Callithrix jacchus: one gene and its partners. The protein of the gene in region 1 binds, or shares a complex with, the protein of each later gene. Links are inferred from orthologs where the notes say so. Each region holds a gene or a part of one and is shown in the gene's direction. Other genes may lie near its edges.

What was found.
Region 2: THOC5 (region 1) and SARNP share a complex: the UniProt entries of both Homo sapiens proteins name them as parts of the transcription/export (TREX) complex. The link is inferred for Callithrix jacchus from reciprocal best matches to the Homo sapiens genes THOC5 and SARNP.
Region 3: the proteins of THOC5 (region 1) and THOC7 are in contact, whole or in part, in a cryo-EM structure (PDB 7APK), measured with the Homo sapiens proteins. The link is inferred for Callithrix jacchus from reciprocal best matches to the Homo sapiens genes THOC5 and THOC7. Residues at the interface, in NP_001002877.1 of Homo sapiens: Pro48, Asp51, Tyr52, Tyr55, Cys59, Leu62, Gln63, Met66, Ala67, Gln70, Phe95, Lys99, Leu101, Asn102, Ala105, His106, Arg108, Leu109, Gly112, Arg113, Gln115, Thr116, Ala119, Lys120, Val123, Tyr126, His127, Leu130, Leu133, Glu136; in NP_079351.2 of Homo sapiens: Ala21, Asp23, Ile27, Leu30, Val31, Phe34, Tyr50, Met53, Leu54, Leu57, Cys60, Glu61, Met64, Gly65, Thr67, Leu68, Val70, Tyr71, Asn74, Met78, Tyr81, Ile84, Tyr85, Ile88, Glu89, Ser91, Ile92, Ala95, His96, Lys98.
Region 4: THOC5 (region 1) and CHTOP share a complex: the UniProt entries of both Homo sapiens proteins name them as parts of the transcription/export (TREX) complex. The link is inferred for Callithrix jacchus from reciprocal best matches to the Homo sapiens genes THOC5 and CHTOP.
Region 5: the proteins of THOC5 (region 1) and THOC6 are in contact, whole or in part, in a cryo-EM structure (PDB 7APK), measured with the Homo sapiens proteins. The link is inferred for Callithrix jacchus from reciprocal best matches to the Homo sapiens genes THOC5 and THOC6. Residues at the interface, in NP_001002877.1 of Homo sapiens: Pro406, Gly407, Asp538, Ile539, Val540, Asp541, Ala542, Gly543, Leu544, Ser575, Ile576, Ser593, Asp596, Arg599, Glu602, Gly603, Asn606, Val607, Tyr609, Arg660, Phe662, Arg663, Gly664, Pro665, Ser666, Arg667; in NP_001334633.1 of Homo sapiens: Val5, Pro6, Ala8, Val9, Pro10, Leu11, Gly12, Gln13, Val16, Phe17, Leu20, Gln21, Leu23, His24, Met25, Thr26, Phe28, Tyr45, Tyr80, Asp94, Glu125, Val126, Pro127, Glu128, Asn130, Gly146, Tyr170, His172, Glu188, Trp222.
Region 6: THOC5 (region 1) and DDX39B share a complex: the UniProt entries of both Homo sapiens proteins name them as parts of the transcription/export (TREX) complex. The link is inferred for Callithrix jacchus from reciprocal best matches to the Homo sapiens genes THOC5 and DDX39B.
Region 7: the proteins of THOC5 (region 1) and THOC1 are in contact, whole or in part, in a cryo-EM structure (PDB 7APK), measured with the Homo sapiens proteins. The link is inferred for Callithrix jacchus from reciprocal best matches to the Homo sapiens genes THOC5 and THOC1. Residues at the interface, in NP_001002877.1 of Homo sapiens: Tyr52, Arg113, Lys120, Asp124, His127, Leu128, Gln131, Asn132, Leu134, Tyr135, Glu136, Met138, His139, Thr145, Lys146, Glu149; in NP_005122.2 of Homo sapiens: Glu60, Arg145, Arg146, Leu147, Ser148, Ser150, Gln151, Lys285, Met286, Leu289, Val296, Tyr297, Phe298, Leu302, Ser304, Leu307, Leu310, Gln311, Ser313, Asp314.

What each region holds. Positions count from the first base shown.
Region 1 is NC_133502.1:200,157,518-200,161,814, reverse strand, and holds the start of THOC5 (THO complex subunit 5), read left to right. Parts: upstream 1-1,497; 5' UTR 1,498-1,556; intron 1,557-2,689; 5' UTR 2,690-2,769; coding exon 2,770-2,805; intron 2,806-4,297. UniProt on the Homo sapiens protein: Component of the THO subcomplex of the TREX complex which is thought to couple mRNA transcription, processing and nuclear export, and which specifically associates with spliced mRNA and not with unspliced pre-mRNA.
Region 2 is NC_133510.1:63,845,594-63,849,093, forward strand, and holds part of SARNP (SAP domain-containing ribonucleoprotein), read left to right. Parts: intron 1-3,155; 5' UTR 3,156-3,202; coding exon 3,203-3,247; intron 3,248-3,360; coding exon 3,361-3,460; intron 3,461-3,500. UniProt on the Homo sapiens protein: Binds both single-stranded and double-stranded DNA with higher affinity for the single-stranded form. Specifically binds to scaffold/matrix attachment region DNA. Also binds single-stranded RNA. Enhances RNA unwinding activity of DDX39A.
Region 3 is NC_133516.1:45,607,377-45,611,025, reverse strand, and holds the end of THOC7 (THO complex subunit 7), read left to right. Parts: intron 1-353; coding exon 354-411; intron 412-1,620; coding exon 1,621-1,687; intron 1,688-1,804; coding exon 1,805-1,874; intron 1,875-2,819; coding exon 2,820-2,887; 3' UTR 2,888-3,149; downstream 3,150-3,649. UniProt on the Homo sapiens protein: Component of the THO subcomplex of the TREX complex which is thought to couple mRNA transcription, processing and nuclear export, and which specifically associates with spliced mRNA and not with unspliced pre-mRNA.
Region 4 is NC_133519.1:14,052,241-14,056,369, forward strand, and holds the start of CHTOP (chromatin target of PRMT1 protein), read left to right. Parts: upstream 1-1,329; 5' UTR 1,330-1,593; intron 1,594-4,129. UniProt on the Homo sapiens protein: Plays an important role in the ligand-dependent activation of estrogen receptor target genes. May play a role in the silencing of fetal globin genes.
Region 5 is NC_133513.1:5,170,985-5,174,960, forward strand, and holds the start of THOC6 (THO complex subunit 6), read left to right. Parts: upstream 1-1,176; 5' UTR 1,177-1,458; coding exon 1,459-1,497; intron 1,498-2,482; exon of another isoform or gene 2,483-2,501; coding exon of another isoform or gene 2,502-2,540; intron 2,541-2,656; coding exon 2,657-2,772; intron 2,773-2,873; coding exon 2,874-2,938; intron 2,939-3,012; coding exon 3,013-3,116; intron 3,117-3,200; coding exon 3,201-3,238; intron 3,239-3,315; coding exon 3,316-3,364; intron 3,365-3,466; coding exon 3,467-3,538; intron 3,539-3,625; coding exon 3,626-3,728; intron 3,729-3,817; coding exon 3,818-3,867; intron 3,868-3,961; coding exon 3,962-3,976. Other genes in the region: HCFC1R1 (host cell factor C1 regulator 1), read right to left, coding at 1-134, 367-495, 609-665, 981-1,075. UniProt on the Homo sapiens protein: Component of the THO subcomplex of the TREX complex which is thought to couple mRNA transcription, processing and nuclear export, and which specifically associates with spliced mRNA and not with unspliced pre-mRNA.
Region 6 is NC_133505.1:39,016,320-39,019,182, reverse strand, and holds the end of DDX39B (spliceosome RNA helicase DDX39B), read left to right. Parts: intron 1-1,193; coding exon 1,194-1,303; intron 1,304-1,401; coding exon 1,402-1,546; intron 1,547-1,684; coding exon 1,685-1,832; intron 1,833-2,159; coding exon 2,160-2,176; 3' UTR 2,177-2,363; downstream 2,364-2,863. Other genes in the region: MCCD1 (mitochondrial coiled-coil domain protein 1), read right to left, coding at 2,673-2,861. UniProt on the Homo sapiens protein: Involved in nuclear export of spliced and unspliced mRNA. Component of the TREX complex which is thought to couple mRNA transcription, processing and nuclear export, and specifically associates with spliced mRNA and not with unspliced pre-mRNA.
Region 7 is NC_133514.1:63,815,287-63,817,858, forward strand, and holds the end of THOC1 (THO complex subunit 1), read left to right. Parts: coding exon 1-94; intron 95-1,084; coding exon 1,085-1,160; intron 1,161-1,666; coding exon 1,667-1,962; 3' UTR 1,963-2,072; downstream 2,073-2,572. UniProt on the Homo sapiens protein: Component of the THO subcomplex of the TREX complex which is thought to couple mRNA transcription, processing and nuclear export, and which specifically associates with spliced mRNA and not with unspliced pre-mRNA.

The sequences.
Region 1 (4,297 bases):
GACAGAAGACCACTTGAAAAGAAGTTCCTAATACTAGATGGAGAGTGGCTTGGCTATTTTACCCTACATATTGGGGTTGAGAACTTAAAAGTGTAGTTCCACTCCTTCTATGCAGAAAGTCTCTCCTGCCCTCCCTCCTTCCTGCAGGCAAATGTACAGGCCAGGGCCTGTTTCCTCACCCTATCTTACCTCTCCCCTACTTCGCCTTCATTCTGCAGGGCCGCCTGGTGTGTGGAGGGGGGTCAGTGACTCTGGGGGTCTCCACAGTGACCCCCATACCTCATCATGAACCCTTGGGTAGCTTGATTCTGTTTCCCATCCAGGAAAACTTGTGCTGGAGTTGTTGATGGAACCAATTAAATATTTACTATAAACCACAGTGTCCTTTCTTCATCTGCAAGGAACTTTAGCAGGTGCCTAAGGCAGGGCACAGTAGAGCTGGTGGGCTTAGTCCCATATGGCAGATCTGTCCTCCTGGAGGGTATTATGTTCTTGAGCTATTCTCAAGAATCAGTAGTGGCTGCGCATGGTGGCTCAGGCCTGTAATCCCAGTACTTTGGGAGCCCCAGGCAGGCAAATCACTTGAGGTCAGGCCTGGGCAACATGGTGAAATCCTGTCTCTACTAAAAATACAAAAATTAGCTGTGCATGGTGGTGCATGTCTGTAATCCCAGCTACTTAGAAGTCTGAGGCAGGATAATCATTCAACCCTGGAGTCCTAGGTTGCAGGAAGCCAAGATCACCCCACTGCACTTCAGCCTGGGCAACAAAGCGAAACTCTGTCTCAAAAACAAACAAACAAACAGTATTTTCCTCCTTGCTCCAGGGAAGGAGACAGAACTGTCCCTGTACAACCAGGAATTTGGGCCACGTGGTAATAGCTCCAGATAAGTAGGATTTACACAAAAAAATCCTGGACTCTGTAGAGTTCACACCAGGGGTAGAAAATACTTGAAGCGTTCAAATACTGCATTAGTTGTGACTCTGTCCTGGGCAAATCGGGCATAAAATGGGAGAAATTAGTGACGCACTCCTCAAAAAACCAAGTATAGAATGAAGTTAATGCCCTTCCTGACTTGTTGCCTTCACTAATGTGGCATATGGTAGTCAAAATAGTAATTAAGCAGCAAGGAAGAATCGAGGTTATGGAGCCAAATCCTCTAGGGCCCAAATCTTCCCGCCCGCTACCAGGCAGGTTCTTTCGTGTTATGTTGGACATAACATTCATTTAATTACTTGGTGGAGCGCCCACTAGTTGCTGGGCACGGCCTTAGGCCCTGGGGACAGTGAACGAGGCAAGTGTCTTAATTTTAGAAGGCAGTGTGGGATTGTTGCCCTGATGGGACCCGTCGCCTACTAGCTCGCCTGTCACCCCTCCGCAAGGCTCACTAGGCCCCCACCTCACTCGTGGGCCTCCATGCTCCACTTCTGGCCTCCACGCCTCGCTTCCGGTCGGCCGCCCCTTCCTTACTTCCGCTTCTCTATGGTGCGCGGGCCGCCTTTGCTCCGCCTCCGGAAGCGGCCTGTTCCGCGTCTCAGGTTCGCGGAGCTGTGAGGTGAGGAGCGGATTTGGGTAGCGGGGCTGGGAGATGGGGCGGGGCCGGGCGCTCCGGGACTGAGGTGCTGATCGCCTGAAGGGCGCCCCTGGGTTGAGGTCTGAGCCAGCTTCTCCTCCCTCACTACTCAGTCCCCGGCCGCTGGGTGCTGCGCTGTTACCTCATCCGAAAAATGTTCGCTGCAGCATCTTCAGGCCTCATGTTCGAGCCTTTTTTTGTTGTTGGTGGTGGTGATAATGTAGCCTGATGGGGGGGGGGTGGTGGTGGTGGTGGTGGTGTTGGTAACAAGTCACACATATTGTGCTCTCCTGTGTGCTAAGCATTCTGCTGTCTTGCGAAAGTCAGAATTTCCCACACTTAAGCCTTTCGGGTCCTGTCTTTGTGTAACTTAACACCTGTACTACCTTTTACTAAAAATTTTTAATCCAATGCTATTTATTTATTTTTGAGAAGGAGTTTCTCTCTTGTTGCCCAGGCTGGAGTGCAATGGCACGATTTTGGCTCACTGCAACCTTTGCCTCTCGGGTTCAAGCGATTCTCCCGCCTCAGCCTCCCAAGTAGCTGGGATTGCAGGCACCCGCCACCATGCCTGGCTAATTTTTGTATTTTTTATCGAGACAGGGTTTCACCATCTTTTGACCAGGCTGGTCTTGAACTCCTGACCTCATGATCCACCTGCCTCAACCTCCCAAAGTGCTAGGATTACAGGTGTGAGCCACCATGCCCAGCCTGTTTTGTTTTGTTTTTTTTTAAGATGTAATTTTGCTCTTGTTGCCAGGCTGGAGTGCAAAGCGTGATCTCAGCTCACTGCAACCTCTGCATCCTGGGTTCAAGGGATTTTCCTGCTTCAGCCTCCCAAGTAGCTGGGATTGCAGGCACCTGCTACTACACCCGACTAATTTTGTATCTTTAGTAGAGATGGGGTTTCTCCTTATTGGTCGGGCTGGTCTCAAACTCCTGACCTCAGGTGATCCACCTGCTTTGGCCTCCCTAAGTGATGGGGATTACAGGTGTGAGCCACCATGCCCGGCCTGTTCGTAGATGTTAAAGTCAAATTAGGGAACTGAGATATTCTCCTTGAAGCAAGCAGAAGTTTCAAAAAAGAATTGAAAAGGGATTAACTTTCTCCTTAGGTGTTCAGCATTATTTAAGATCATCTGTGTATCATCTGAAGCCACAATCCCAGGTCATCTTCATCACCTTCCTCAGTGGAATGCCTCCTGTGTTAAAGCCCACAACAACCCCTGTGGTAGGGACTGTTATTTTCATTTGATTTGTGAGGAATCAGACCCAGAGAAAAGTGAAGTGACTTGTCCTGGGATTGATAGCCATAAAAGAGTAGAATGGAGATTCTAGTTCAGGGTTCTCTGACTTTTTTTTTTTTGAGATGAGTCTTGCTCTGTCGCCCAGCCTGGAGTGCAACAGCACTATCTTGGCTCACTGCAGCCTCCACCTCCCAGATTCAAGCGATTCTCCCCTCTCAGTCTCCTGAATAGCTGGGATTAAAGGCGCCCACCATCATGCCTGCTAATTTTTGTATTTTTTGTAGAGATGGGGTTTCATCATGTTGGCCAGGCTAGTCTTGAACTTCTGACCTTAGGTGATTCGCCCACCTCAGCCTCCCAAAGCGCTGGTATTACAGGCATGAGCTACCATGTCCAGCCCTGGGGCTTTCTGACTTTTACCATGACAGACTGTTGGCTCCCTCAAGTCAGTGAGGTCAAAGCTGCAGTGAGTGATGATTGTGCCACTGCACTCCAGCTTGGTTGACAGAGCACGATGGATTAGGGTAAAGGGGACAGTGCTGCCCACCTCAGGAGGCTGTGTTTAGGCAACAAGGGAGGGTGCATTGTGGCCCATGAAATGTAGGTTCTATTCTTTAAATTCTAGGATGAACCTGGGAGTCGATGGCATTACTAGATGAGATGCTGGCAGGACAAGGAGGCATAACAGTGTAGTTAAGAGCACCAATATGGCATTGATTGGCTAGACCCAGATTTTAGCATACTAACCATGTGATCTTGGACAAGTAATTCCCCTGTGAGCCAGTTTTGTCATCTGTAAAGTGGTGGGAGTTCTTATCTGAAAAGTTTATTATAAGCAAATGAAGACATACCTTAAAGTCCTTAGATCAAGGCCCAGCACACAGTAAGCACAGTAATATTGGGAGTGGTTTTAAATGCTAGACCAAGGAGTCTGGATGCTAATTTATGGAGCACTCTGCCAGGCTCATGGGGAAGAGGGTAGAGCTCACAATCTAGGTGGGAAGACAGGTAAATGATTCGTAGAAATAAATTCCCTGATAAGATAACCAAAGTAGCCAAAAGAATGCTTTGGGAGACCTGACAGGCTTCCTAGAGCGGACGAGCATTGCTTAGTCTTGAGGGAAATAGGGAGGAAAAGGAAGATCTTTGCCAGCAGGGGAAAGGATGTGGAGTGTTTGAGGAACTGGGAATGCAGAGTGCAGTTGCAGCCAGGAGCAGAGGTTGGGGACAGTTGGAAGGTCAGTAGGAATAGGAATGCAAGAAATGCAGTTGGGAAGGTGGGTTGGGGACGAACCATCAAGGTTCTTCATGGTCAGGGAATGTGGATATCATTCAGTACATCATGAAGAGCCAGCAAAGGCTTTGAAACAGCAGAGGCATTAATTAGGTTGGTCTTTTTTTCCCCTTGAGATGGAGTCTTGCTCTGTCGTCCAGGCTGGAGAGCAGTGGTGTGATCTCAGCTCACTGTTACCTCCA
Region 2 (3,500 bases), on another chromosome or scaffold:
TCCTGCCTCAGCCTCCTGAGTAGCTGGGATTACAGGCACGCGCCACCGTGCCCAGCTAATTTTTTGTATTTTTAGTAGAGATGGGGTTTCACCATGTTGACCAGGATTGTCTTGATCTCTTGACCTCGTGATCCACCCGCCTCAGCCTCCCAAAGTGCTGGGATTACAGGTTTGAGCCACCGCACCTGGCCTAATTTTTTGTAATTTTAGTGGAGGTGGGGTTTCACTGTGTTAGCCAGGCTAGTCTTGATTTCCTGACCTGGTGATCCACCCGTCTCGGCCTCCCAAAGTGCTGGAATTACAGGTGTGAGCCACTGCACCTGGCCATTTCTCTTTTAAAATAATGTCCTAGGCTGGGCGTGGTAGCTCACACCTGTAATCCTAGCACTTTGGGAGGCCTAGGCAGGCAGATTACCAGTTCAGGACATCAAGACCATCCTGGCTAACATGGTGAAACCCTGTCTACTAAAAATACAAAAAAAATTAGCCGGATGTGGTGGCACACACCCGTAATCCCAGCTACTCGGGAAGTTTAGGCAGGAGACTCGCTTGAACCTGGGAGGCAGAAGTTGCAGTGAGCCAAGATTGTGCCGCTGCACTCCAGCCTGGGCAACAGAGTGAGACTCCATCTCAAAAATAAATAAATAAAATAAAATAAAATAATATCTTAGTATATGAGAAGAACACACTATATAACAAAAGATATAATATAACATTATGTAAAAACTGTATGTAGGCTGGGCATGGTAGCTCATGATATATGTAAATGTTAAGTAATTTGTAGGTGCTGGGATTACATATGACTTTTATTTTCTTCTAAACTTTACAGAATTTTTAAACTATTCTACAGTGAACATAATACTTTTATAACTAAACAATTTAAGGTGTAATTAAAATCAAAAGACTCGTTCTCTGGGAAGCAGAAAGAAAATAAAGTATCAGTGTTAGAAAGATCAAAATTCTTTTAAAAATATATATATTTCCCCCCCAAGATGGAGGTTTGCTTTTGTTGCCCAGGCTGGAGTGCAGTGGCGTGATTTCGGCTCACTGCAACCTCCGCCTCCTGGGTTCAAGCAGTTCTCCTGGCTCAGCCTCCTGAGTAGCTGGGAGTTTGCTACCATGCCTGGCTAATTTTGTATTTTTAGTAAAGACGGTGTTTTTCCATTGTTGGTCAGATTGGTCTTGAACTCCCGACCTCAGGTGATCTGCCTTCCTCTGCCTCCCAAAGTGCTGGGATTACAGGCATGAGCCACCACGCCCAGCCAAAAAAATTTTTTTTAATAGAGATGGCATCTCATAGTTTTGCCCAGGCTGGTCTCAAACTCCTGGGTTCAGGCAGTCTTCCCACCTTGTCCTCACAAGGTGCTGGGATTATAAGCATGAACCACCAAGATCAAGATTCTTACTTAATAAATGGAATGTTACTGGTCTGTCATGATCTAAGAAAAAAAATAAAATATTAAAAAATAAAAATTAAAAAATTAATGGACTGACTATAAAGATCGCTTATAATGTTATTTAAGGTATGATTCACAGGCCACTGCTGGTCCATGACCTAGCTGTTCCTGTTTAGCGGTGAGATAAATACAAAAATTGAGTGTAAGCTTTTAGAATGTTTTATAGCATTTTGATAGAGCAGTATCCAAGTGTACACTCATTTTTGTAATAATTGATTTTTATTGTTACTGCAAGAGTATTGCTCCATGACCTGATTGGGATATTGTAAAAAGCAGCCTTATCAGCCTACCTATTTAAAAGTACATTGAACTGGACAGAGTGCTGTGTACCTGTAGTCGCATCTGCTCAGGAGGTTGAGGTAGGAGGATTACTTGAGTCCAAGAGTTTAAGTTCAGCCTGGGCAACATACTGAGACCACTGTCTCTAAAAAGGAGTAAAGAAAATAAAAATACATTCATTTGTGAAACTCTGAAATCTGAGACCAGTGATTTAGTACTTAATAAGTATAAAGCACTTACTAGCCATCAAGCACTGTTCTAAATGCTTTATAAGATTTTTCATTTATGCAGATAGAATTTCTATAGCCTTTCTTTCCTGCTTGTTCTTCTGGATCAGCATGTCATTTTCTGTTGTAAAATAAGAATATAGAGCCCAGTAGACTGTTACATCATTTATCATGGATTTTGTATTTTGGTTACCTATGACTTGTAGGTAGCAAATCATACTGTTAACCTTCTTTGCTTAAAATTCTGAGGTCTTTATCCTTTGTGTTACTATTGAGCCTGTCCTCCCTTATCCAGTTTTTATATAATTGAAGTTTTAAATCTAAGTGTAGGAATTTATGTATATACCTTATTCCTTCTTTTTTTTTTTTTGAGATGGAATTTCGCTGTTGTTACCCAGACTAGAGTGCAATGGCACGATCTCGGCTCACCGCAACTTCCACCTTCTGGGTTCAAGCAATTCTCCTGCCTCAGCCTCCCGAGTAGCTGGGACTACAGGCACGTGCCACCATGCCCAGCTAATTTTTGTATTTTTAGTAGAGATGGGGTTTCACCTTGTTGACCAGGATGGTCTCGATCTCTTAACCTCGTGATCCACCCGCCTGGGCCTCCCAAAGTGCTGGGATTATAGGCGTGAGCCACCGCGCCTGGCTGACCTTATTCCTTCTAAATTAAATCTTCATTTGGCTAATTATTAGTCCTGAAGAAGTGTTTTTTTCTATTTCTGTTTTGTTTTTAAGCTTAGTTATGTCAGTAATCCATCAGTTCTCCTTCCATTGTCTGTAAAATAGATGATCATAGCTTCTATATCTTTAGTCAAGTTACTGATTTTTAAATCTTCAACAGAACTTTATGGTATGCCATTAGATGTTTCGTGCCATTTTGACACAGCTCCTTTAATCAGTTCATTGTTGACATTAGGTAATGCATCTACTTAATTCTATGGTGGTTAGACCTGTCTGGTAGATTGTAATAAAGGATGTGAGATAATAAGTGGTAAGGAGAATCTGCTTTTAGATCATTGAATTTTATACTTGAAGGTTCATTCTTCCCATTTGCTGGCTGCCACAGTAATCTTTAGAAAAAAACCTTTTCCCTCTTCAGAATATTAAGAAAATAACTAGACATTTGTGACGGTAAATAGATACACAAAATAGATGAGGTTTTTATTAAAGTGTGATGTTTATTTTTCAGCATCTGTTAGACAGTTCCTCCTGTATACTGAATATTGTTAGAGGAACATGGATCATCTTGGTGGACCCAGAGTCTTGATAGAATTAAAGGCGGTAATTCGGGATGGAATTTCGTTTTCTTTTCCTTTTCCTTGTGGGAACTACCACTTTATTCACTGGTGATCATCCCATTAACTAAGGAAAAGTTTTATTTTTTTCCCCATCAGCTTGCTGAACTAAAGCAAGAATGTCTTGCTCGTGGTTTGGAGACCAAGGGAATAAAGCAAGATCTTATCCATAGACTCCAGGCATATCTTGAAGAACATGGTGAGTACTTTGTAGAGGCAGAGTGATGTGAGTGAAGGGA
Region 3 (3,649 bases), on another chromosome or scaffold:
TTTCTTCTTTTTTTTTTTGGACAACTAGTGAGTAAGATCCTTCTCAGAATCAGTCTATTTGATAATCAGTAATAACTTAAGTTCACTTATTTTTATGCTGACCTCTTATGTTCTGTCCAGAACATATAAATGGAAAAAAAGTGCTGAAGTTTAGGGAGCTAAAATCCCTGTTTAGAACACTTTTGATGTTATGTGTCATTATAGTTATAACTCAGTCAACTAGAACTGGCAATACTCATCTTTCAATGATTTCATTTCTTGATGTACTAGGGAAGTGGTTAGGAGAGGCTTGTGATATTACACATTTTGTTTTGATAAGCCCTTAGTTTGATAAACATTTTTATGTCTTTCAGAATATGATGCTTTGGCAAAAGTGATCCAGCATCATCCAGACAGGCATGAGACATTAAAGTAAGTGTAGAGCTTTACTTTGAAAGGAACTAACCTTTATACATAAATGCTGATACACTACCCTAGGCATTTCATTTTTGCAGAAATAAATATGTTTCAAAAGGAGGGTTCAGGTCTTCGATATTATATTTCCCAATACTTCTCTGTTAGATTTTATTTTCCTCTGACCTTACCACCTATATGTCTAAAATAAATGCATGTAATATGGACAAATAGAGTGGACAAATAAAATGTGGTCTTCATATATTAAAATATTAAATATCAGTTAAAAAGAATAAACTAGGCCGGGCGCGGTGGCTCACGCCTGTGATACCAGCATTTTGGGAGGCTGAGGCGGGGGAATCATGAGGTCGAGAAATCGAGACCATCCTGGTCAACATGGTGAAACCCCGTCTCTACTAAAAATACAAAAAAATTAGCTGGGCACAGTGGCGCGTGCCTGTAATCCCAGCTACTTGGGAGGCTGAGATGGGAGAATTGCCTGAACCCAAGAGGCGGAGGTTGCGGTGAGCTGAGATCACGCCATTGCACTCCAGCCTGGGTAACAAGAGCGAAACTCCGTCTCAAAAAAAAAAAAAAGAATAAACTAGTTTTGTACTGTTCAAACACACTCCTCAAAACATAATCAGTGAAAAAACATAATAAATTTAAAATTATTATTAAATTTCTGAAACACATATAGAATAATAACAATTTATAAAAGTTAGAACCCCCTTTCAAATATTATATACCAATACTGTATATTATTCAGTGATACAGGTATATGTGTAAAAATGGATTAGAATGATATAGTGGTTGCCTGAGTGGGAGGTAGAGGAGATAAAAAGGCCCAGGATAGAGGACTAGGGGTAAGGTTCAAAGGGTATTTCAAGTTAATTGGCAATGTTTTATTTCTTTTACAAAAAAAAGACCCTTGAAGTTAAGCTCTACAATATGTATCATTTCTTGGGTCTTGTTATTCTATTATCTGTATTTTTCTGTACTTTAAAAATTTATCAGAAAGTGTAATTTTAATTAAAGTAAGTCCATATTTAAAAGTTAAGAAGAAATCATTTTTAAAAGTCTCACCATAATGGAGTGTTATAACTCCTTATAAGTTTTTTTTTCAATTTTATTTTAAAAATTCTATCTAGTAACTAATAAGTTAGTTATTAATTGTAAATTTTTTGCCCCATTCAGCAAAATGTAACACTGTTTTATTATTTCCAGGGAACTAGAAGCTCTGGGAAAAGAATTAGAGCATCTTTCACATATTAAAGAAAGTGTCGAAGATAAGGTATTTGCATAGATATTTAGCCTTTGTGATTTATCTGTCTATCTATAAATAGATCATCATATATATCTATATATATATAGATCATCATTTGTATAAATTTTTTTCTTGTTAACACAGCTGGAATTGAGACGGAAACAGTTTCATGTTCTTCTTAGTACCATCCATGAACTTCAGCAAACATTGGAAAGTAAGTAGAAATAGTCTCAAAATAAATGTTTATGAAGATTTTTTAAATGAGTCAGGGATGTTCCTTTTGAAATATGTATCTTGGAGAGAGAATATGCCTTCAATTTCTTAACAGTATAGCTGGATGACATTAGAAGATACTCATGTTCAACTTTCTTGAATATGTATAGAAAAGTCTTAATTTGTACTAATACAGGATTTAAAGATATATCTAGTGGTTTAAATTAAGAAAAATTGAAGGATGATAGATTTGGAGTTTTTCTTGGTTCACTGTAGTAGATTACTATAAGGTAACAACTCAGGACCCAGGCAGGCAATAATAAGCAATCAGTACCTAAGAATATTTGCATACCCACTGAGTGCTGGGTGCTTTAGGGAACTGGAGACTTGCTCTTTATATCCCTGTAGACAGCTGGAAATTCTATGTTACCTGACCTTCTGATTGTTTTTCAAGAACAGCCTAAGACCCATTTTTTTTTTTTTTTTTTTTTTAAGGCAATCGTGCTCTGTCATCCAGGCTGGAGTACAGTGGTGCAGTCTTGGCTCACTGCAATCCCAACCTCGCGGGTTCAAGTGATTCTCATGCCTCAGCCTCCCGAGTAGCTGGAATTATAGGCACATGCCATCATAGCCAGCTAATTTTTGTTTTTTTAGTAGAGATGGGGTTTTACCATGTTGGCCAGGCTGGTCTCAACCTCCTGACTTCAGGTCATCCACCTGCCTTGGCCTCCCAAAGTGCTGGGATTACAGGCTTGAGCCACCACACCTGCCTAGATTTTTTTTTTAAGTGAAATCTATCACATAAATTTTACAGTTTGATTCAATTAGTAGCCATCTTTGCTTTAATTGTATTGGTTAATAAAGGATAAACATGTTTTCATATGTTCATTAAATATAAAATGTAGGCAAACTCGACTAAGCTTTTATGTTTCCTTCTCAATTACAGATGATGAAAAACTCTCAGAGGTAGAAGAAGCTCAGGACGCAAGCATGGAAACAGATCCTAAGCCATAGATAGGCTAATTGCCCACCATTCCCAGGAATATTGAAATAGCTGCATGAACATAATGTGTTTAAAATGTGGTGTGCTCTTGAGATATTTAAAGTTTTGGCAGTACCATATGCTGTTTTGAAATATGAATGTACATTTCATTCATATTTCCTTACACAAAGGAAAATGACTTTAGTATAGATTTTTTTATTAAAAGGCATTTTTTATTCTTAAAAGGTAGGAAGCAACATCGAAATATGCTTAATAAAATGCTTTTAAGCTGGATATGTTTGTGCTCGTTAATATTCTAGGTAGTTTTTAACTGGTTACATTGATTGGTTTACAAAATAAGTTGAAGATTGTTAGAAGTTGGCATTTCTAGGATGTACATGGGAAAATGGGCCAATTTCTAGAAATAATCACACTTCTGAAAACAGAGTCTATGAAGAGGCTTTAGGAGGGCCATGAACCTGTGAAATTACATGCAAAATGTTTGTGGCATATGCTTATTATGGGGAAAGGTTTCATGCTGTTAAAAGTCACTGGCATGAGAGGTAATTATAAGATGCAAAGTAAAATAATATGCCTTGCTTTCTATATCTCTCTTCTTAATATGTGAATAATATGATTCTTGTTTTGTTGATCTGTTTTCTCTATTGTTTTGTTCTTTAGTAATCATTTTCAATAGAAAAGAATATATTGGTAAAATGAAGGGTTGTTTGAAGTAAATAGTTTGTTAAGATTGTCTTACATAGGCCGGCTGTGGTGGCTCACACCTGTAATCC
Region 4 (4,129 bases), on another chromosome or scaffold:
TGCCAGGAAGGAAAAATGAAAGGGTCTTGACGTGCCTATGGGGCGGGGTTGCATTCTCTCATTAATCAAACGTATGCACACTGTATTGTGTACAAAACCATTAAAAAATCTTTTACTGAGGCCGGGCGCGTTGGCTCATGACTGTAATCCCAGCACTTTAGGTAACAGAGGAGGGCAGATCATTTGAGGTCAGGAGAATTGCTTGAACTCAGGAGGCAGAGGTTGCAGTAAGCCGAGATTGCACCATTGCACTCCGGTCTGGGTGACGGAGACTCCATCTGCAAAAAGAAAAAGAAAGAAAGAAAGAAAAATTCCTTATTGAGCAGGGCACATAGCTCACGCCTATAATCCCAGAACTCGGGAGGCTGAAGTGGGAGGATCATCTGAGCCCAGGAGATCAAGGCTGCAGTGATCCTTGATTGTGCCACTGACTGCAGCCTGAACAGCCCGTCGCAAAACAACAACAAAAAATCAGAGAGAAAAGATAAATCCCTTTGTAGGTCTGCAACAAAATCAACACGGATGGCAGGTGTGGAGGGAGGACATGGAAGAGAAATCGGAGATGCAAAGGTGCCCTCACAAGAAGGATTAAACAGTATTGTGGGGAGAGGAGGAAGTGAGGAGGAAAACATGGACGGGCGGCCGTGGAGCCGGCGAAGGATCCGCGAGGAGTGTGCTCCCAATACTGGCCTCCTGGGCCTTGGCCGGAGCATTTACGGCACTTCACAACTCTCAGACTGGGCGAGTGGACATGAGGGGAAAACCAGTACAAATTCCCCAGGCCCAGTGGTCCGGTAGAAGATGAGGCAAGTCCATGTAAAGATTTTATTTTATTTTTTTTTTAATAGAGACGGGGTTTCACCATGGCCAGGATGGCCTCGATATCTTGACCTCGTGATCCGCCCGTCTCGGCTTCCCAAAGTGCTGGGATTACAGGCGTGAGCCACCGCGCTCCGCCCGTGTAAAGATTTTTAAACTGTGTACCTTGGCTGGGGAACGGGGGGACGAGGGAACTCGGGACTAAAATCCCCTCTACGAACTACCCCAGGAAGTCGCCGTGCAACCACTACGGTAACGGCCTACGGTAACCCTGCACGACCCCACTACGGGACCACTGGCCACGCCCCTGGGGGGACGGAGCACTGCTTGCAACGCTAAAGTAACGTTTGCTCAAGCCCCGCCTTCGCCATAAGGCTCCGCCTCTGATTTCTGCGCAGGCGTAGCTCAAATCTTTCCCGCCCTCTAGTCGTGCGCAGATCTGACTCCTGACGTAATTGCGTAGACGCCATTTTAGCCGGTCCTACACGCACGGGACGTGGCGGCCATTTTGTTTTGGACACTGAGACGGAGCTGGCGGCCGCTGCAGACGAAAGTCGGGAAAGGGCAGGCCGAGTGAGCAGACGGATTTGCCGACTAGACAGCCAACCAGCAACAACAAACTAAGTTCGCATACTACAGCTTACGCATCTAACCAACCGCCCATCTAGCTAACCCGAGCCCCTCCACCGTCAATTCAGGTTCGGCCGGTCCCCGGCCCGCCTGCCGGAGCCGTGGTGGCAGCCCCGGGAGGAACCCTGGCGTCTGTTTCCTTCGGTGAGTTTCGGTAGTGAGAAGGAGCAGGGAGTCTTGGGGAGTGGAAGGGGCCAGTAGATGCGGAGAGCGGGTGGTGGCACGTGGAAACGGCTCAGGTGGCGGAGCGTGGAGGCCCCGGGGAGGAGGCGGAGCCCCTGCGAGGGGACGGGGGAGGGGCTGAACTGGAACCTGGTGGCGGGATTGAGGGAGGTTGGGTTTGATAGGGATAAAAAGGGAACTTATTTGGCGGGTTGAGCAAAAGTGGGAGTCTTGACAGGGCTTTGAGGATGGTAGGGAGATTAAATGAGAAATGTTGGAAATTAATGGCAGCGTTAGGGTTAAATATTGTGGAGGGCTCTCTGCGAGCTAATTACCAGGTGAATATAGAAAACCTTTCCTAATCACTGCCCCAGATCCTCAGTTCCTTGTTAAAGACCCTACTTAATTCTGGAGTTGAAATCCAATTTTGAAACTAGGCATACCTGTATTTTCACTCTGTAAATCTGTGTTTCTCTACTTTAGCTGCACATTGGAAGCACCCCTAGGTAGCTTTCCCCCACCCCACAATTATTCATTTCCAAACCTCACTACCAGAGATTCTGGTTTAATCTAGGCCCAGATATTCGTATTTTTTTAATTTATGTTTTAATAGAAACAAGGTCTTACCATGTTGCCCAGGCTGGTCTCGAACTGCTGGGCTCAAGCAGTCCTCTCTCCTTGGCCTCCCAAAGTGTTGAGATTACAGGCGTGAGCCACCTTGCCCAGCCCTATTTTTGTTTGTTTTTGATACGGAATTTCACACTTGTTGCCAAGGTTGGAGTACAATGGCATGCTCTCGGCTCACTGCAACCTCTGCCTTTCGGGTTCAAGCGATTCTCCTGCCCCAGCCTCCCAAGTAGCTGGGATTACACAGGCACTGTCGCTAGCCCGGCTAATTTTTTTTTTTGCTTTCTTTTGTTCGTTTAAGACAGTGTTTCGCCATGTTGGTCAGGCTGGTCTTGAACTCCCGACCTCAGGTGATCCACCTGCCTTGGCCTCCAAAGTGCTTGGATTACAGGCATGAGCCACCACGCCCAGCATTTTTGTATTTTTAGTAGAGACGGGTTCACCATGTTGGCCAGACTGGTCTCGAACTCCTGACCTCAGGTGATCCACCCACCTCGGCCTCCCACCAAAGGGCTAGGATTACAGGTGTGAGCCACCGCTCCCGTAGTACCTGGACCTATTTTTTTTTTAAAACCTCTTTGGGTAAGTCATGTAGTCAAGGTTGAAAATGACTGCTCTGGCCGGGCGCAGTGGCTCAAGCCTGTAATCCCAGCACTTTGGGAGGCCGAGGCGGGTGGATCACGAGGTCAAGAGATCCAAGACCATCCTAGTCAACATGGTGAAACCCCATCTCTACTAAAAATACAAGGAATTAGCTGGGCATGGTGGTGTGTGCCTGTAATCCCAGCTACTCGGGAGGCTGAGGCAGGAGAATTGCCTGGACCCAGGAGGCGGAGGTTACGGTGGGCCGAAATAGCGCCATTGCAGTCCAGCCTGGGTAACGGGCGAAACTCCGTCTCAGAAAAAAAAAAAAAAAGAAAGAAAAGAAAATGACTGCTCTAAATTAAAAGCCAAACTCAGCCGGGTGTGGTGGCTCAGGCCAGTAATCCCAGCACTTTGGGAGGCCGAGGCTGGTGGATCAGGCAAGGTCAGGAGTTTGAGACCACCCTGGCCAACCTGGAGAAACCCCATATCTACTAAAAATAAAATTAGCCGGGCATGGTAGCACCTACCTGTAGATCCAGCTATTCAGGAGGTGAGGCAGGAGAATCCCTTGAACCGGGAGGCAGAGGTTGCACTGAACCCAGATCAGGCCACTGCACTCCAGCCTGGGTGACAGAGCAAGACTCTGTCTCAAAAAAAAAAAAAAAAAGCCAAACTCCACATTCTCATTGCTGGATTGGGTTCTGCCATTTTTGAGAATTTCACAGGTATTTTCTGGGCCTTGAAGTTTGTTTTGGGTTTTTTGCTTGTTAGTATGTTTTAAAGAGATGGGTTCTCACCTGGGCCGGAGTGAGAACTGGGTGCAGTGGTGTGATCATGGCTCATTGCAGCCTCCAACTCCTGGCCTCTAGTGATCCTCCCTCAGTAGCTAGGATCACAGGTGCTGGCAACCACGCACCACTATTTATTTATTTATTTATTTTCTTAATAGAGTCTGGGTCTCACTTTGTTACCCAGGCTGAACTCCAACTCCTGGCCTCAAGCCATCCTGTGGCCTTGCCCTCCTAAAGTATTAGGATTACAGATGGTGAACCACCACACCCTGCCACCTTAAAGTTTTAATAATCTGAGGTAATTGTCATAGAAACTTAAGCACTTTTTCTGGGCGCAGCAGCTCATGCCTGTGATCCCGTCATTTTAGGAGGCCAAGGGTGGGAGGATAACTTGAAGCCAGGAGTTTGAGACAAGCCTGGGCGACATAGCAAGACCCCCGTCTCTCCAGAAAATTTTTAAATTAGCCAGAGATGGTGGTGCACATCTGTGGTCCCAGCTACTCAGGAGACTGAGG
Region 5 (3,976 bases), on another chromosome or scaffold:
AGAGCTCCATTATGTCCCCAGCTGGGGTCGAAGGGTAGGAGGGACTGGGGATGTCCCCCAGCCTCAGCAACCGGAGGGCTTCAGGGATGAGGCTGCCAGGGTATCGCCAGAGAAGCAGCTCAGAGCAAGAGCTCCTAGAAGAGGAAATGATAGTCGGCAAGGGGGCTGAGGCGGCCTAACTGAGCACCTCCCACCAGGTCCAGGTCCCCAGGGGCTCCCGGGTTCTCAGCACTTTCCAAAGAGCCAAGATGGGAAACAACCCAGAGGTCAGCTAGAGCTAAAAATGGCACGATGAGGCAGGGCCTGAGGTCAGCTCTGAGAACCGCCTGTGATCCTGCAGAAAGCCTGGCCAGTGGAGGAGCCTACCTGAGTGGGGGCAGGGCCGGGGGGAAGGTCATAGGGGGGCTGCAGTAGGGGTGATCATTGTGCAGGCTGAGTTGAGAGAAATGGGTGGCCATGTTCTCCTCAGACAAAAACTGCTTGCGCAGAGGCTCCCTGGGGAGAGATGAAAGAGAGGGAGGCTGGGAAACTGAGACAGGAGACAGCGTGTTGGGGACCAGAGGTGACAGAGATCTTGTTGGGAGTCCCTCCCTGCCCCCCAAACTCACTGCTCCTCCTCCAGGCGCCGCTTGGTGCTCAGGGGCACAGCTCCTCGGAGAGGGGAGCTGGGAAAAAAAGAGAGCCTGGTGCACCCCACCCTCTTGGCCCCTTCCCAAGGATCTGCCCGCCTGAGCCTGCAGCATCAGCCAGGAGCCCCAAGCCCATTCCTGTCTCAGGTGGTGCTTGTCCCCTCTCTTCTGGGCCATCCAGCAGCGTACCTCGAAAGTCTCGACCTTGAGCCGAAGACCCAATCCGGTCTCAGTTTACACCTAAGCCCCGCCGATTCGCCCTACACCGTGTCCATCTGCAGACCAGCCCTGAGCACCCAGCCAAAGCTCCTGCGGCCCTTGGTCAGGCCCACCCTGGTCCCCTACACGCACCTAGCGTCCAGGCCGCGAGTCACCCCCAAGGCGGCCCGCGGGAGGCGCTGGGCCCCACCCTGCGGGCCTCGCTCCAAGGGCTGCTCCAGGATCATTGGGTTTTGGGGTCCTGCGGGTGGGATCTGGGCGACGGAGGCGGAGTCTCTGAGGGCGTGGCCCAACGCGAAGGGGTGTGGCTTTAGGCGTGCGCAGCTGCGAGGTTCTGCGCGGGCGCGGAAGACGTGGGGCGCGTGGCGGAAGGCGGGCCTGTTCCTCGGGGTGGGGGAAGGGATCGGCTTAGCGGAACTGCGGTGGGCGTCACTTCTTAGTGTCGGGGGTTTTCGTGGTGCTCACCTCGGCTCCTGGGGTTCAGTACAGTACGCAGCAGTCACCTTCGCGCCGAAGGCGGCAGGGCGCCGCGAGGAGTAACCGCTCTAGGAACGTACGGCATCGTGAGATTGCGTTGCGCGCGAGCACTCTGGGACTTGTAGTTCTGGAGATGGAGCGAGCTGTGCCGCTCGCGGTGCCTCTGGGTCAGGTGAGACGGACGTGGTGCGCGGTGCCTTCTGGGGTTTGTAGTCCATGCATGACTTGGACAGGGCGGGCAGGGAATAGTGCCCCGAGCCCTGTTTTGCTAGGGCTGTTTGTGGGACTCAGATTATGACCGGGTCGGGGGGTGGGGCGGGAAAGTAACCAATAAGGCCTCAGGGGCTTAACGCAAGTCAGAGAATAGGGATTACAAGTCAGTACGTTTTTCTATGTTGGGGTAGTAGAGCCACTTTTTTTTTTTTTTTTTTTTAAATCGGGCTGGTCTTGAACTCCTGACCTCAGGTGATCCACCCACCTCTGCCTCCCAAGGTGCTAGGATTACAGGCGTGAGCCAGCGCGCCCAGCCGAGCAGAACCACTTTTTAAACACTTTTTTTTTTTTTTTTTTTGAGACCGAGTCTGTCCCCAGGCTGGGGTGCAATGGTGAGATCTCGGCTCACTGCAACTTGTGCCTCCCAGGTTCAAGCGATTCTCCTGCCTCAGCCTACAGAGTAGCTGGGCCTACAGGCATGTGCCACCACGGCCAGCTAATTTTTGTGTTTTTAGTAAAGACAGGATTTCACCATGTTGGCCAGGCTGGTCTCAAACTCCTGACCTCAGGTAATCTGCCTGTCTTGGCCTCCCAAAGTGCTGGGATTACAGGTGTGAGCCACCGTGCCTGGCCAAATTTTTAAATTTTTTTTTTTTTGTAGAGATAGAGTCTCACTATGTTTCCCAGGCTGCTCTCGAACTCCTGGCATCAAGCGATCCTCCCGCCTCAGCCTCCCAGATCGCTGGGATTACAGGCTTGAGCCATGGCACCTGGCTTAAGCACTGAGTGACAGCTTTGTGCAAAGCTCTGTCTATACACTAGCTCATCTAATCGTGACAATCTCCTGTGAGCTCCATTTGAAAGTTGAGGAAGCTGGTAGGAGAGGCTTGGGTGTTTGCTCAGAGGTTCATGAGGCGTCACACCTCAACTCTCCCCTTCTTCAGTGTCTTCTTGGAGCCACCTATGGGACTGCATGGGCAGGTGCTGGCTGCTGCAAAAGAGGTCTGAGAAGTCAGGACAGTGGGAGGCCTGGCAGGTGTAGCGGGGAAGCAGGGAGGAGTCTGTGGATGGGAGGTTTCAGATGTCCCAGGCAGGCCTCATCCAGTCTTTCCTTGCAGGCAGAGGTGTTCCAGGCCTTGCAGCGGCTCCATATGACCATCTTCTCCCAAAGCGTCTCACCGTGTGGGAAGTTTCTGGCAGCTGGCAACAATTATGGGCAGATCGCCATCTTTAGGTACCCTCTGCTGCCGTCCACCCATTAGCCCTGGCACTTGGTCTTCATGGGACAGATGCCCCTGTTTCTGACTCCTGGGTCCCCTCCATTGTCCCCTGCAGCTTGTCTGCTGCTTTGAGCTCGGAAGCCAAAGAGGAAAGTAAGAAGCCGGTGGTGACTTTCCAAGGTGGGTCTAGCTGTGGAGTCTGGCTTCGGGGCTTTGGGTGGGATCGGCTGACTTACTTCCGGATTTCTCTTCAGCCCATGATGGGCCGGTCTACAGCATGGTCTCCACAGATCGACATCTGCTCAGTGCTGGGGATGGGGAGGTGAAGGCCTGGCTTTGGGTGGAGATGCTCAAGAAGGTAAGGAGTGAGGCTGGGGCAAGGGCTGGGGTACCCAGACCCAAAAAGGGCCTTTGAGGTCGCCTCATGTTTTTCCTTTTGAAGGGCTGTAAGGAGCTGTGGTGCCGTCAGCCTCCATACAGGTGAGCCAGGGCCACGTGGATAGAGGGCGCATGGGGGTGAAGGCACTCCCTCACTTACCCTGACTTTCCTCCCCCAGGACCAGCCTGGAAGTGCCTGAGATCAATGCTTTGCTGCTGGTCCCCAAGGTCTGAGCCCCATGTGACTGTTGTTGGTCCAAACTTTGATTCTTCACTCTCTGCCTTTCCTGATTTGACACTGACTTCCTGCCTCACCCTCCTCCTTCACAGGAGAATTCTCTCATCCTGGCTGGGGGAGACTGTCAGCTGCACACTATGGACCTTGAAACTGGGACCTTCACGGTGAGCAGGGGCTTGGAGCCCTAGAGCAGGTCCAGGCCAGGGAGAGGCACTCTTCCTAGATCTCCTCACATTGCCCCTCTACTGCAGCGGGTCCTCCGGGGCCACACAGACTACATCCATTGCCTGGCATTGAGAGAAAGGAGCCCAGAGGTGCTGTCGGGTGGTGAGGATGGAGCTGTTCGACTTTGGGGTAAGGAGGTGGCTGGCTGGAGGGCAAGATGGCAGTGAGGGAGGCTGAGGCTCGTGGGGCACTACTTAGGGTGGGTTCTTTCCCTGCAGACTTGCGCACAGCCAAGGAGGTCCAGACAATCGAGGTCTATAAGCACGAGGTGAGGGTGTGACCGTGGCCATTGTCCTCTTTCCCAGAAACTCCTTTAACCCTCTAGGACTTCACCTCTTTCCCTCCTCCCCTTCCCCTCCCAGGAGTGCTCCAGGCCC
Region 6 (2,863 bases), on another chromosome or scaffold:
TTCTGTGGCTGGCATGGATCTGTCCTCAATAATCTCTAGGAAAATAAACTTAAAAAATTAAGATCCTTGGCCAGGCATGGTGGCTTATGTATGTGATCCCAGCTCAGCACTTTGGGAGGCTGAGGCAGGTGGATCACTTGAGCCCAGGAGTTTGAGACCAGCCTGGGCAACATGGTGAAACTTCATCACTACCAAAGAAGAAAAAAATTAGCCAGGTGTGGTGGTGTATGCCTGTAGTCCCAGATACTCCAGTGGCTGAGATGGGAGGATAGCTTGAGCCCAGGAGATTGAGGGTGCAGTGAACTATGATTGCACCACTGTGCTCCAGCTTGGGCAATAGAGAGAGATTGTCTCCAAAAAAAAGTTTTTAGGAAAGGTTTTAGGAAGTTGTTAAAAGCCTTAAAACGACTTTTTGGGGGGCATGTTAGGGCACTTAAATGTTCAATTCTTCTAATACTGCTTACAAGAAGCATTTCTGGCTTGGTGCAGGGCAGTGGCTCATGCCCATCATCCCAGTACTTTGGGAGGCTGAAGCAGGAGCATTGCTTGAGCCCAGGACTTCAAGACCAGTCTGGGTAACATAGGGAGAACCCCATCACTACAAGTAGTGGGAAAAAAATAGTAGCTGGGTGTGGTGGGTGGCATGCACCTGTGGTCCCAGCTGCTTGGGATGGTGAGGTGGAAGGATCTCTTGAGCCCAGGAGGTGGAGGCTGCAGTGACTCAGGATTGTACCACTGCATTCCAGCCTGGGTGACAGAGTGAGACACCATCTCAAAAAAGCATTTCATTAATATACTTGTGAGTGGTCTATTTGCATTAAAAACTACTTTCTAGAATTAGGATAGCTTCCTTAGGTTTAATGTTTTGGTGAGCAGGAATATCAGTCACTCCTCCAGATCTTAATTCTAGTTTTTTACCACTTTTTCATGAGGTGACCTCATCCTTGTCTCCTGCCATGTCTGGCAATTTTGGTTTCTGAACTCTACCTCAGAGGGCAGCCTCCTTAGGTAAAAATCAGTGCTGAGAAAAAGTATTTCCTCTTCTGCTCTAAATATATAGTGGGGGAACAAGAGATGAAGAGGAATTCCTGAGAACATAATTACTGGAAATTCTTCTCTCCCACATAATGTCTCTCACACCATGGACCCCTATTCCCCAATTCCTGGCCCCCCTCCCCTCCACCCCGAGACAGGTGGTGATCTTTGTGAAGTCTGTGCAGCGGTGCATTGCCTTGGCCCAGCTACTGGTGGAGCAGAACTTCCCAGCCATTGCCATCCACCGTGGGATGCCCCAGGAGGAGAGGTGAGTTGAAGATGGGAAAGATGTTTTACATCCTTGGGAGAAAAAGACAATTGAGAGAAGGGAGTCTCAACATTTTTTAAATTTCCTTTCTCACAAAGGCTTTCTCGGTATCAGCAGTTTAAAGATTTTCAACGACGAATTCTTGTGGCTACCAACCTATTTGGCCGAGGCATGGACATCGAGCGGGTGAACATTGCTTTTAATTATGACATGCCTGAGGATTCTGACACCTACCTGCATCGGGTAAGCCCCACATGCTGAAGAAATCCCGTTCTCCCATTACCTTCTTTTCTATATCTTTTTGTACATTACATCTTCATCCTTGCCTCTGGGAGTCTCTTTCCTCTTGGGTCCTCAGTACTACCCTCTGTCTCCTTCCAGGTGGCCAGAGCAGGCCGGTTTGGCACCAAGGGCTTGGCGATCACATTTGTGTCTGATGAGAATGATGCCAAGATCCTCAATGATGTGCAGGATCGCTTTGAGGTCAATATTAGTGAGCTGCCTGATGAGATAGACATCTCCTCCTACAGTGAGTACTGATCTCATGAAACCCTTTAGATCATCCCTGTTCCTCAGTGTGTTGGTCCTAAATCCCATCATCTAGGTCATGGGCACCTGATGTGTAATGGACACTTGACCGGTTCATGTCCCCTGGCCTTCGATGCTGTGTTGGGTTATTTTCCTGACCTGTGTGTGGGGTCTTTGTCTTCTCTCATCATATTACATCCCTTCCCTCACCCGCATGTCTGTCCTCTGAACCCATACAGTACACCAGTATCTGCATGTATACTGTGTGTTCCTGCCTTGCTTTCCCCTTTTCATGCCTTATTCTGACCATGCTACGTTTTCTCCTCAGTTGAACAGACACGGTAGAGGACTCGCCCATTCTGGAATGTGATTGTCTGGCCTTCAGGAGAGAACAGGGTGGGGGTGAAGGAGACACTACTGCCCCCATCCCTGACAGCCCCCACCCCATGGCTTCCGTCTTTTGCATCACCACCACTCCTGAACCCCCATTTCTGATTTGTCAGAATTTTTTTTAACAAAACTAAAAATGAAACACACGTGTCTGTGGTATCTGTAAGTGCTTCGTCCCTTTATTGTATTTGGGGTGAGGTTATTTTAGGTCGTGGTCCTGAATAAATTCCCTGTAAGGCCTGGGTGCCCTGCTGTGAGGTCAAAGGGAGATGGGACTAAGACTCCAGAGCCCTGGCTCCCCCACTACCTGCCAATTGCCTGTGCTTTGTGGGGGGGTCTCTTCTGCTTTCTCTGCTCTGAGAGTGGCTTGGGTGTTTCTGATCCTGAAGTCCCTGGGGGGTGACGCACAGTATTTCCAGTGCCAGAGGGTGCTGTGGGCACTGGGGAAAGCTTAGGCACTGCCTTCCAGGCTCTCTCGGTGCCGCCTCATCTGTTCCTTCAGCTTCTGGATCTTGAGCACCAGGGCTTGGGCTTCCCAGGCTCCTTCCTGCCCTTCCAGGAGTGCCTGGTATAGCTCCAACTGCTGCTCCAGCAGCTCCTCAGCTTGGGCCAGCTCAGCTGTGCGGTGGGTCCCAGGGCCCT
Region 7 (2,572 bases), on another chromosome or scaffold:
AAGTCCTCACTTCTTCCAGCCAACCAACCAGCAGTTTAAAAGTTTGCCAGAATATCTTGAAAATATGGTAATAAAGCTCGCCAAGGAGTTACCAGTAAGTACCATAGATCAGCTTTTCATACCCTTTAGTTGACTTCTTCTTTAAAATTGCTATTGCTATGAGAACAAAAAACCCAGTTAATCATGTAAAAACACAAGCTCCCATGTTTTAGAATGAGGGAGAAACACATTTAAATAACACATTTACAGGAAATACATGAGTTGATAAAGAAGTAACTGATAATTTTCTATACAGCATGTACTTTCACAGGGCTAGGCGTGGTGGCTCAGGCCTGTAATCCCAGCACTTTCAGAGGCCAAGGCAGGCGGATCACAAGATCTGGAGATCAAGACCATCCTAGCCAACATGGTGAAACCCCTGTCTCTACTAAAATACAAAAAATTAGTCAGGCGTGCACCACCACGTAGTCCTAGCTATTCAGGAGGCTGAGGCAGGGGAATTGCTTGAACCTGGGAGGCGGAGATAGCAGTGAGCCGAGATTGTGCCACTCTACTCCAGCCTGGCAACAGAGCAAGACTCTGTCTCAAAAATAACTAAATATGTTCAAAAATCTTTGGTGATGAAAAAGAAAAAAAATAAATACAATTCACGGTACTTTGGGTAAACTGTTAAGCACCTATACATGCAGACGTGAATTTTTCCTGTTTGCCATTGCATTATATTGTCTTTTTTCAAAGAAAAAAGAATCAAACTTTTTAAGAACACTTGCTACTAGCTTCCTTGAGGCCTTACTAAACCCTGGATATTTGCAAATCTTGGCACTGTGCTTTTCACTGCCTTCCTGCTTCCCAGATTGGGGCTGGGGAGTCTTTCTAACTCCGGGGTCTTCCCCAGTTCACTCCTGCAGGTGAAGACAGTCCCACTTAGAAACCTTACCTGATACTGTCATATAACAATGTCAGGGGTGAAATTCTGATGCCCCCTGTACTTGGAATCTTACAACCATCCTTATCTAAACAGAGTACCTGCTACCTTACTTCAGAGGCTGGCATTCTTTCAAACATTCTTCTTTCTCATTTTTAGCCTCCTTCTGAAGAAATAAAAACAGGTGAGGATGAAGATGAGGAAGATAATGATGCTTTACTGAAAGAAAATGAAAGTAAGAATTGTATTTGCTTGGTTATTTTACAAAATTGAAGAAGATTGGGTTTTTTTGTTGATAGGTACCTTAATTTGGTCAACTTCTCAACTTCTCCCATTTTATCTCGACTGTTTCTTACAGTGAGGAATTTAAAACATTGCTTAATAATAACTTTAAAAATACTACATTTTATGCAATAACATTGGGAAGTAATGATGATACTTTGAAAGGGAAGGAAAATACATTTGAAGGTGACCCATACCTCTGTTAATTATTGGTGATTGGAGGGAGAGCAGCTCATTTCAGAGAAAGCCTTCATAATTGTAACAGATGTAACAGCTTTAGCTTTGATAATTGACCATGCTTATGGAAAATATTTAAAAATAATTGTTTACTTTTAAAATAAAGTCTACTAACGGTGATTAATAACTCATTGGCCCCATAGCTTTCCATTTCTGTTGTATACTTAGAATTGCACATGTCCTTGTACTCTGCACATAATTTATATTCTTTTCATTTTCTAGGTCCTGATGTTCGGCGAGACAAACCTGTAACAGGAGAACAAATAGAGGTATTTGCCAACAAGCTGGGTGAACAATGGAAGATTCTGGCTCCCTACTTGGAAATGAAAGACTCAGAAATTAGGCAGATTGAGTGTGACAGTGAAGACATGAAGATGAGAGCTAAGCAGCTGCTAGTTGCCTGGCAAGATCAAGAGGGAGTTCATGCGACGCCTGAGAATCTGATTAATGCACTGAATAAGTCTGGATTAAGTGACCTTGCGGAAAGTCTAACTAATGACAATGAGACAAATAGTTAGCTTCTTTTTTTTCTTTTTATTAAAACTGTGATAAGATTTTGTTACCAAGCAGCATTTGGTAAGAGGTCCACTGGTTTTGGTAAACAATAAACATTTTTATAACAATTGTACAGTCGGCTGGTGCTCTAAGAACAATAGAACACATATTGGCTCAAACCAGAGTTTGGGGAAGTTGGGAGGGTGGGTTGAGAAAATGACCTAAACGAAGTGACCTCAAGATCACAAAATATATTTCTGTTAAGTAGATGTATTTATAATGAAGTGAAATAAGCACTACTTAGGGATATGTTGTTTCCTATACCAAATTAGTTTCCTGTTTGCTGTTAGTAGTTACAAAATCTAGCTCTCCTGAAATCCCAGAATAACACTTTCTGAAACATATGACTGTTCTGTTCTCACTTATTCGTGCTTTCAAGTAGAGGATCAGCAAATGATGGTCTGTTCTCCCTGCCACAAGTCTTGATCACTAAAATTGTACTGGCACCTAGCTGTGCTCACTCATACTATCTGTAGCTCCAGCTATACTACAACAGCAAAGCTAAGGAGCTGCAATAGACACTTTATAGCCTGCAAAGCCTGCAATATTTACTATCTTGTCCATTACAGAAAA